3 linked regions of the Canis lupus familiaris genome follow. Each later gene encodes a partner of the first gene's protein in a complex. Links are inferred from orthologs where the notes say so. Each region holds a gene or a part of one and is shown in the gene's direction. Other genes may lie near its edges.

Evidence for each region. Proteins that work in one complex are often made in the same cells at the same time.
Region 2: AKAP13 (region 1) and MAP2K3 share a complex: the UniProt entries of both Homo sapiens proteins name them as parts of the signaling complex. The link is inferred for Canis lupus familiaris from reciprocal best matches to the Homo sapiens genes AKAP13 and MAP2K3.
Region 3: AKAP13 (region 1) and PKN1 share a complex: the UniProt entries of both Homo sapiens proteins name them as parts of the signaling complex. The link is inferred for Canis lupus familiaris from reciprocal best matches to the Homo sapiens genes AKAP13 and PKN1.

The regions. Positions count from the first base shown.
Region 1 is NC_049224.1:49,656,390-49,660,041, forward strand, and holds part of AKAP13 (A-kinase anchor protein 13), read left to right. Parts: intron 1-438; coding exon 439-3,529; intron 3,530-3,652. UniProt on the Homo sapiens protein: Scaffold protein that plays an important role in assembling signaling complexes downstream of several types of G protein-coupled receptors.
Region 2 is NC_049226.1:42,970,439-42,973,670, forward strand, and holds part of MAP2K3 (dual specificity mitogen-activated protein kinase kinase 3), read left to right. Parts: intron 1-2,418; coding exon 2,419-2,558; intron 2,559-3,232. UniProt on the Homo sapiens protein: Dual specificity kinase. Is activated by cytokines and environmental stress in vivo. Catalyzes the concomitant phosphorylation of a threonine and a tyrosine residue in the MAP kinase p38.
Region 3 is NC_049241.1:48,562,231-48,565,465, reverse strand, and holds part of PKN1 (serine/threonine-protein kinase N1), read left to right. Parts: intron 1-1,860; coding exon 1,861-1,940; intron 1,941-2,016; coding exon 2,017-2,092; intron 2,093-2,174; coding exon 2,175-2,266; intron 2,267-2,909; exon of another isoform or gene 2,910-3,235. UniProt on the Homo sapiens protein: PKC-related serine/threonine-protein kinase involved in various processes such as regulation of the intermediate filaments of the actin cytoskeleton, cell migration, tumor cell invasion and transcription regulation.

The DNA.
Region 1 (3,652 bases):
GATATTGGCGAGAATTGACCAAACTGCTTGGGATTTCCTGGTACTTGTATACGTGAGGTGGGATGGAATTACTTCTACTCCTCTCAAGACCCTATAAAAATATCTTTCTTAGCTGAAGATGGGCGCTGTGCTTTTGTAAAACAAGATTTTTGAGGCCTGATTTTCATCTACTTTTCTAAAATAAGTTCATAGTTTAGGGAATAGCCGTCTTGCATATCCTTGACCATTTTATCATTCCAGTGGATATGTAGCTACAAGAGAGGAAAATGATATCAGGAACAAGAGAAAATGTACTTATTTTCTTTAGGTCAGCTTATCATGTGATCTTCAGAGGGCTGGAATGGCAGTGAGTTCTCTGCAGCAGAAGTTTTGTTTATCGGTGTCAATGACATCTTTTCCCATGGGAAGTTTTTACAGATATCTTTCATTTCCTCCTAGAAAACAAACCTGAAGCAGATGGACAATCCTATGCCCTTAATGGTGACAGCACAGGATCCTTCAAGTGTGCCCAGTGCCCAAGATTCAGATGGCCAGTTTCTTTGCTGCACATCAGATCCCAGGGACAGCCAGCTGCACTCTTCTCTTCCTGAGGACCCTGAGAGCTCTCCATGCGCCCAGGGGAGCACTGTTGGGGAGATTGAAGGTTCCTCTGATTTTTCATGTGTGGCTAAGGAAGAGAACACAGACTGTTCCTGTAAGAAGGAAACTAAAGGCGTGGAGAAAGAAGGGGAAGAGGCGGAGCCATCGCTTACTGTGGACTGTGGAACCATGTCTGATCCCAGCAGCCACCGTCCGAGCATGCCTGCTTGTGGAGGAAAGGGCATGGGAACCCTTCCACCCTGTGGAATCAGAAATGGAGAAACTGGAACAAAATCCTCTGCATTGGCCACAGACCAGGTGTCTCTGGACACTGGAGACAGCGTCCTGCAGGGAGATGTGGGCATGCAGCCGGCCACCGCTCCCACTCAGCATTTCTCTGGATGTGAACTGGCAGCCGGCATCCCAGTGACTCCAGGGGAGATGGAAAGTGGTCCTGTGAATGCACATGCTGCCATCCAGAAGAATGTGCTTGAAGTCAGGGAAAGTACAAAGGAAAAGCTGGAAAACTCTAATATCATCACAGATGGATCCTCTGATGTGAAAGTCACAAGTCAGACTGCAGATAAAGCCAGTGTTCCAAACTGTGTCTCTGCCACCAGTTCCCCGGATGGTGACAAACCTGCTGAGTCTTTGCTTGCATTTAGTAATGGAGAAGCCTCCCCTGTCAAAACTGCAGAAACAGAAGCGTCAAGAAGTTGTGAAGGGAGTGCTGGGGCTCCCATGGATCAGAGCTCCCTGGTAATTCCAGCTGCTGCAGAAGACACGACTTCAGATGGACTCGAACTTTATGCTCCCTTGACAGGCACAAGTGAGGCAGCATCATCCTCTGATCTAACGTTTCCCGGGCCACAAAAAGACGCGCCAAACCAGAAATCAGAACCTGAGTCATCTCACATTCAAAGCCAAACCAGCAGATCACCCATCTGTTCTACAACTAGAGGGGGCACACCATGTGCTGCCTTTGCATGTGGGCAGAGCTCAGTGACTTCTAGTGGTATGCTGGCTGCAGAATACTGTGATGGCATAGTTACCCAGCCTGAAAGCACCACTCCAGGACTACCCCCCACACAGCATCCCCCCCTTACCCTCTGCTGTGAAGGTCCACAGGCTAATGCAGCCACCCCTGGCCCTATGAGAGATACCCAGGAACAGGTAGAGTTTTGTCCTGTTGAAGTTTCAGATAAAAAAGGCCAGGGAGAAGATTTGAAATTAGGAACATCTTCAACAAATATGCTTGAGGTGCATCCACAGGCAGTTGTCCCCAAAGCCAAGAAAGAACTGGTACCAGACCAAGCAGTGACATCAGACAAGACTTTTTCTCTGGCAAGCAGTCCAGGCAGTGAATCAGTAACCAAAGATGACGCGCTTTTTCTTTTCCCCTCCCAGAAAGAAAAAGGAATAGCAACTCCTGAACTACATACAGCTGCAGATGGTAGAGATGGCCCAGGCAGAGATTCAAATGATCCTGATAAACAGCCATTAGAAGACGGTGCCACAGGCCTATCCACACCCTCCCTTGCTGTCCAGCTTCAGCCCAGCATGGGGAATACAAGTCCCATGGGACTTGGTGGGGAACATGGGAGTGTCTGCCTCTCAGCAGCCCCTGAAGTTCTGGACATCAAGGGGGCTGCTGACTCTTCTCTGTTATGTGCAGGTAAGGCCATTATGGCCTCAGATTCCATTTTGACTGAAGAAGGAAAAAATCTGGTGGTTCCAGAAAGCTCCGAAGCTCAGGGACAAGATGGCAGGGATAAAGCAGCAGCTTGTTCCTTTCTCAAGGAAGACACTCATTCCTCAGGAACATTTCAGGAAGAGCAGAGAACACCACCTCCTGGACAGGAGGCACTGGGATTCTGTGGAGAGCCTGGCTCAGCTGCCTGTGCTGAGGAGAGAGCACTTGAGCGCGGTAATTCATTGGGCACACCCTCAGCCTGCCTGAATGCAGAAACGGAGCATAACAAGGAAGTGGCCCCACCAGTCTCGCTGCTGACTGAAGGTGGGGCTGCACAGAGCCTGGTGCCACTGGGAGCAAGTCTGGCTGCAGACCCAAGCCAGGAAGCTTTGGGTGCAGAGCAGAGCAGCTCTGCTCTGTTGCCAGATCTGTTGCCAGATGGGTCTGAGGCTCTTTCTCGCAATGGATCTTTTGCTCTGGATGTTGGAGTGCAAAACCCTGAATCCCAAGGTAAAAACACTGCTCATGAGGTGAGTGGAAATGTGCAGTTAGATGTTGCCGTGGTTAATGCTTTACAAGGTAATGCGGGGGCCAGAAGAAAGGCTATATTACATAATGCCCAAGATCTCCCAATTCCAGAAGTCTTGAGCCAGGAGAAGAATATGATCCTGGGTTTGCCAGGAGCTTTAGCAGATGAAGGTGTGACTGACCTACAGGGTGCCGCAGCTCCAGAGATGGTACCCCTTAGGGGGAAGGAACGAGACAACAACTGTGGCTTAGCCAACTCCGGGAAGGCACAGGTGGATCCTGAAGCACATCACATCTTGGAGCAGCCTCTTGCCAAAGAGCTTCCCACAGAGACTGGACTCTCAAGTAGTGGTGACCAGGCCCTGGGCAGGGCAAGGGGCACTCCCCTTTTACCTTGTGCTGTGCCTCTGCCCAAGGGAGCCGACTCCATCGAAGAGACTGCGTGTCGCATAGTGGAGGCTGTTCTAGATCAAGTCAGGTTCTCAGGAGCACTGATCACTGGGCGGGAGATCGGTCACATGTCACTCTCCCGTCCTTCAGAGTCCGATCCAGTGACTGAGCAGCCAGAGGGTGCTTCTACAGGGCAAGTGAGCACTTTCCTGCCTGTGCAGACTGTACACATGGGCAGTATCTGTGAAGAAGCCCCTGGTAACTGTGCAGGATATTTGGCTGAAACGGAGGAGCCAGAGAAGATGGTTCTGCCCACTGAAGGATCTGAGCCAGCAACAGGTAAGCAAAGCAGAATACAGATGTAGCAGTTTGAGGGATAAGCTCCCTTAAGAGCCTCTGAGATATGCTGGTAAAAAGGAGGTGTCTTGTGGTTTAGAAGTATCTTTCATTCACTGGGTAAGT
Region 2 (3,232 bases), on another chromosome or scaffold:
TGGCTCTGGCTGGGGTCAGGGCTGGGCTGGAAGGTCTGAGAAGGCTTTAGAGATGTGGGGCCTCCACGTGACTTCCTCCGGGCTGGCTGCCCGCTAGCTTCCTCAGAGCGTGGTGCCGAGGGTTACTGAAGTCTTGGGGTGCCTGGCTTCCATGAGAGAAGTGCTCTGAACTGCTTGTCCCAGGACTGGCACAGTGTCACTTCTAATTATGTTGGTCAAAGTGTCATAGGCCATGCCAGGGTCAAGGGGAGATAGAGGCTGTGTCTGGATGGGTACTAGCATGCACACATAGGAGAAGCTGTGTTGGCGGCGTAGGAGACTGGCTGCTATGGTGGAGGTTAGGTATTTCCCCCAAAAGTTACAAAAGTAATAGAAACATTCTCTAAAAACACAGAGAGAAAGTAAAAAGAAGAAAAAAAATCATCATGGTTCCATTCAAAGACACATAGCCCCTTCTCCCTACCATCGAGTGCCAACACCGTGCATTTCCTTCTAGACATTTTGCCTCTTTCTAAAAAACATCTATGGTTTTTATTTTGCTTTTCTCACTTAGCATCACATCACTCATGTTTCTCTGGATTGTTAGAAACCCCTGTAGGCATCTCTTCAAGGGACGCCACAACCATCTGCCACCAGCTACACAGCCAGTCCCTAATGTGGGACGTTTTATTTGTTTCTGTTTTTTTTTCCCTTCCATCTGAAATCCCTGGTTGACCTGGAGGAGTAACCTCTGAGGCACTGGGTGCCAGGCCTGCCCCTCTCGGTGGTTCTCTTTCAGAACCCCCGCCGGGTAGCCCTCTGTGGGCACTTGACCACAGCCACCAACATAAAGACATGGGATGATATTCGGGAAGGCTCTTGACCATAACAAGTATTTGGTCAAGTGCTGATCGCATGAATTCCTGAGTGGGGTCTCCGAGCATGGCCCTCATGGTCATGGCTGAGACTCAGCCGCCCCGTGGCAGGCCAGTCCCTGGTGCTGGGTGTTTAGACTGCTTCCTAATACTCACTGTTACGGATCACACCATACCATGCATTTTTCTGCCCAGAGCCTGTTTTGTTTTGTTTTTCATCTTTTGAGCTCATTAGAAAAAATTACCAGGAAAATGGATTACGGGGTCAAGAGTCTGGACAATTTTCTGTTTTCCTAATTGTAAGTCTGGTAGGACCCTAGGTCCTTTCCTGGAAACCCACACAGGATCCTAACTTGTGCTACTTGGAATCGGTGACAATTCTAGGAAACAGCATCCTGAATTTGTCCTGTGAAACCCCACACCAGATCACAAGCGTGCCTGCCGCATTTTGCACACCCTCCATCTGTGGGGTGTGTTTATATCTTGGCTAGAAAGGGGCCTTTAGCCTAATGGGAAGGCCCTTTCTTAGCACAATAATTAGTAAGCTGTTCAGGCGCCAGTTGCCAACACGAAGCATTTGTTTGAGCTGAGGTCTCTTGTGTTCATTATGGTGATTATGGCCTGTCAGTGAGAAGTCTCTCTGCTGTTTCAGGCGGGGGGCCTGAGCTGACCTGGTTTTTTTTTTTTTTTTTTAAACTCAGCAGTCAGAATCAACCCAGAGTTTGTTGTTAGATAGCTGGTATTTTCCACAAATGACTTCCCACCAACTGTAGGCAAGGCATGTGGCTAGGGGTCTGGCACGGGTGCAGAGGACAGGCGGCCTCAGTGTCCCCTGCAGGGAGTCCAGGGGGTCCGCAGGGAGGGGGAAGTCTTCCCGGAGGAGGGGGCCTTGGAGATGGGTCCTGCTGGCCACTGATGAGGGTTGGGGGGAGTAGAAGGAGCACCTGCAAACCTCAGTGTCTGATGGGGCCCCAGGGGGCCATTGCCAAAGTAAAGGAGCTGACCAAACGCAGGTCTCAGCATCTCCAGCTTCGGGGAGAGGCAGGCTGACGGGGATAATTTCATTTCCCCTTTGCCTGCTCTGGCATAATGACAACTACCCAAATAAACGGCAGCAGATACTTAAGACCCTGTGGAGACGTTAGGGAGGGGTGGCGTGTGGTGAGCGGGGAAGCTGCTGCCTGTCCCACACGCCTTTGCCGCCTTTGCCGACTGCTGCCCTGGGGGACTGTCAGCGCCTCTGATTTTTCCAGATTAGCTGGCACTTGGGTTTTTATGTAAAGCCTTCTGAATTTAGGTTGTTTGAAAGCCTGATGATGCTCAAACCAGTCACAACTCCGGGCTGGATTTGCTTCCTGAGCCAGTGTGTGCAGGCTGGGTCAGAGGAAGCAACGCTTGCTGTTCCCCCGGCTTTCATCTTCGTTTTGATGTCATGTGTCTGCCCCTCAACCTGCCTTGTGGCCCAGCTTTGGGTGGCAAGCCAGGCCAGACAGGTTCCCCAAATGCCCTGCTCCTGGGGGCAGAGTGTGTGCGCATCTGACCAGAGTTACCGCCCCCACTGCAGATTGAGATGGCCATTCTACGGTTTCCGTATGAATCCTGGGGGACTCCGTTCCAGCAGCTGAAGCAGGTGGTGGAAGAGCCATCTCCCCAGCTCCCGGCCGACCGTTTCTCTCCTGAGTTCGTGGACTTCACTGCACAGTGGTGAGTCTGCAGCCCTGCACTGGCTCTGAGACCCCCCCCCCCCCAAGCCCCAGGTGGCACCCTTCCCTACTCTGGCCCAATTCCAGCTCCTCCTGGTGCCCAGTCCCCTCCTCCGTTAGCAAATAACCACCAAACAGCATGGCATCAGAATATGCAAGGCATTAATAGAGCATAAGGAAACTGTGGCAAACTATGGTCCTTGGGGAGATTTTAATAGTCCTTCTAGAGACGGACAGACCAGGCAGCCAGGAAAAGAAAACAAAGAGCAGACGGGGGACTTGAGTAGCAGACAGAGTTGCTTTATTGACGCGTAGAACTTTGTACCAAGGTAAAGAATGCCCATGGGAGCTCTATTTAAAAAATATGTTTGAGATTGAAAAGGAAACAGGGAAAAGGAAGAAGGCAGAGTCATCCAGGTCATGTTCCCTGCCCATAATTACATCAAACAAGAAGTGCGTAACTGCAGAGGGATGAGATATGTGGTAATGCAAAGTAAATTCTTCTGACCAACTCTTGGAGTTGTTTTGTTTTGTTTTGTTATTTTAAGATTTATTTCTTTGAGAGGGAGGGAGAGAGGGAAGGGTGAAGAGGGGCAGAGGGGGAGAGAGAATCTCCAGCAGACTCCCTGCTGAGCATGGAGCCCAAAGGGGCGCTGGATCCCATGACCCTGAGGT
Region 3 (3,235 bases), on another chromosome or scaffold:
GAGCGTGATGTGGGATTGAATCCCGGGATTCCAGGATCACGCCCTGGGCTGAAGTGAAGGCAGGTGCCAAACCACTGAGCCACCCAGGGATCTCCACTGAACTTGGAATGTCCTATCACTTTCTCAGATCACAAAATATTACTCTCCTTTTGATTTTTCCCCCCAATCCCTTAAAAATGTAAAAGCTATTCTCGGCTCACGTACTGTACCAAACCTCATTTACCCACCCCCGCTGCGTGCAATGCATACCCAGATGGACATGTTTATAAGAGCAGGCCCCTTGGCCCAGCTCACATTTTATGCATTTTATACCTCATTTGAAAAAATAGGAAAAAAGAAGCAGGGGGGAAGCCTGGGTGTCTCAGCAGCTGGGCATCTGCCTTCAGCTCAAGGCATGATCCCAAGTCTGGGGATCGAGTCCCACATTGGGCTCCCTGAGGGGAGCCTGTTTCTCCCTGTGTCTATATCTCTGCCTCTCTCTGTGTCTCTCATGAATAAATAAATAAAAATCTTTAAAAAAATGATAGTATATGCTTCTGTATTTTATTTACAATAATATAATGAGATAGGTCATCAGGTGAGTTTGGCAAAACAAAATCCAAAAGTTTAATACCATCAAATGCCAGGCAGGGCACAGGGAGACAGGCATGTAGATTGTTGCATCTCCTTAGGAGGGCATAGCTGGTTGCCCTAAAAATGGACATCGTCTTGACCCAGGAGTTCCAATCCTGGACGCTCACACATGTGCGCATCCAGAAAGTTCACTGCAGCGGCTTTGTGTGGGCAAAAGTGGAAACGGCAACGTCCATCCATAGGAGAGCCAGTGCTAAGTAAATGACGAGGTGGGCTGTGACAAATGAAGCTGGTCTCCCAGTGCTGGGACAGAGTGGTTTCCATAACAGGTTGTCCAGTAGGGGAGGCAAGATTAGAATATTGTCAATAGCGGAAACAAGTGAAATGGAGCCTCTCCCATCACTTTTACTTGTGTGGGTATAGAATATGTTTAGAAAGGTACTCAGGAAATCATTGATGGTGGCTGGTTCTGGGGAGGGTGGCTGGGGCACGAGAGGCCTGTCTTTCCCACCAGCCACCTACTTGTACTGATTGCATTTCTAGAACTGTGTCTGTAGTAGATGATGATGAACCAGTCGTAATATGTTCCCATTCACCATGTATTTTTTTCTAAAATTTTATTTATTTACTGGGGGGGGGGTGCAGAGGAAGGGGGAGGGAGAGAGAGGAGACTCCCTTCTGGGCGCGGAGCTGGATACAGGGCGATCTCACATCCCTGAGATCACAACCTGAGCCGAAACCAAGAGTTGGACACTTAACTGACTGAGCCACCCAGTCCCCCCCACCCTCTTCCATTTACAATATGAATTTTGACTCTTTTCAAAGTTACATGCCCATGTGGTATAAAGAATTAAGTAGCTTTTAGGGCAAATACCCATAAAGGAAATATGTAGGTAAATGGTAAAATATAGCATGAAAAAAAAAGCAGTGAAAGGGGACAGGGAGTATGTGTGGGTATGGCAGGGAGTGGGGGGTCCGTTAGTTACTTAATATGATGGTCAGCTGACCACCTGTGAAGGCGACATCTGCATGAATGGCCTGAAGGAGGTAAGGGAGGAGCCGTGCAGATGTCGGGGTGGGGGGATTCCAGGTAGAGGGAATAGCCTATGCAAAGGCCCTGGGCTGGAAACGTGCTTGGTGTGTTCAGGGCGTGGGGGGAGGGATAGCGTGCCTGGAGGGCAGTGAGCAAGAGGGCAAGTGGAAGGAGAAGTGAGGTCAGAGAGGTGACGGGAGCCTCGGTGGCTATTGTGGTTATGGGTGCCTCTGACTTCCCTCTCTCTGCCACAGAGTTCCCCGATCCAGGAAACTACCACCACCCCGGAGCCGCCTTCAGAGACCCAGGAGACCCCAGGCCCCGCCCTGAGCAGGTGACACCCCTCCCCTGCTCACCACCCACCACCCCTGCCTGCTGTCCTTGTCCCCACCAGTGTCCTCTCTCCACAGCCCTCTGAAGAAGTCGCCCCTGACCCTCGAGGATTTCAAATTCCTGGCGGTGCTGGGCCGGGGTCACTTTGGAAAGGTGAGGCAGGGGGCAAGGAGTTAGGGGAACAGGGAGTTCCCGGGCTGACCATTAAGGTCATCGCTGCCCTTTGTGGTTCCAGGTGCTGCTCTCTGAATTCCGGCCCAGCGGAGAGCTGTTCGCCATCAAGGCTTTGAAGAAAGGCGACATTGTGGCCCGAGATGAGGTGGAGAGGTGGGGACCCAGCCCAGGCCCTCTGAGAACCTCAGTCTTTTCTTCAGGGAGATGGGAGACAGAGCAGTGCCCTCTCTGGAGCTGCTGTGACAGTGATTCATAACAGTCACTGGCACTAATTAAGCTAGTACTTAAGATACTAACTCTTAGAAAGCACCCACTATGCACCTTATGTTCAGGAACTCATTCATCCTCCACGACAGACTGATGAAGTAAATACCATTATGGTTCCCATTCTGCTGATGGCACAGAGAGGTTGAGCGAGTTGCCCAAAGTCACAAAGCCAGTAAGCAGCAGGTTGGGGATTCAAGCCTAGGGACTCAGGCTCTGAAGCCTGTACCCTTAATGGCACCATGGCCCACCTCTGCTTTGAGTCAGGGCCCTGGGTTCAAACATCACCTCTGCCACAAATGTGCTTGGAGAGTCTGGGGAAGTCACTTTGCCTTCCTGATCCACAGCCTCCCTGTCTATAAAAGGGGAGTAATAATGCCTTTCTTGCAGGGTGGTCAGGTGGATTAAGTGAGAGGATGCATCTAGAGCATTCTGCACTACCTGGGCCCCTGCAAGAAGGCCCAGTAGAGGCACTGAGATTGTCCCTAAGCTTTCTGACCTCCTTTTGTTGATCAGGAACCCAACTCAGATAGGCTTAAGCAAAAGAGGAATTTATTGCTCTGGATCAGAAAAGTCCAGGAGTGGACTACCTTCAGGCATGTCTGTATCCAGGTGCTCACATGACATCTCTCAGTCGACTTTCCTCTTTGTAGGCTTTGCTTGCAGTCTTCTCAAGGGGACAGAGATAGCCTCCTGCCCCAGCCGTGTAAGACTCATCCAGTAGTTTTAGCCCTTCTTCCTTAATAATTCCAGCAGAAATCCTGAGATTGAGCCCCACTTCCTTGGCTTGCCCATTCCCAAACCAATTCCTGGCCAGGGGAATGGGGTGTTCCCATTAGCCCCCCCTGGCTGTTCCCT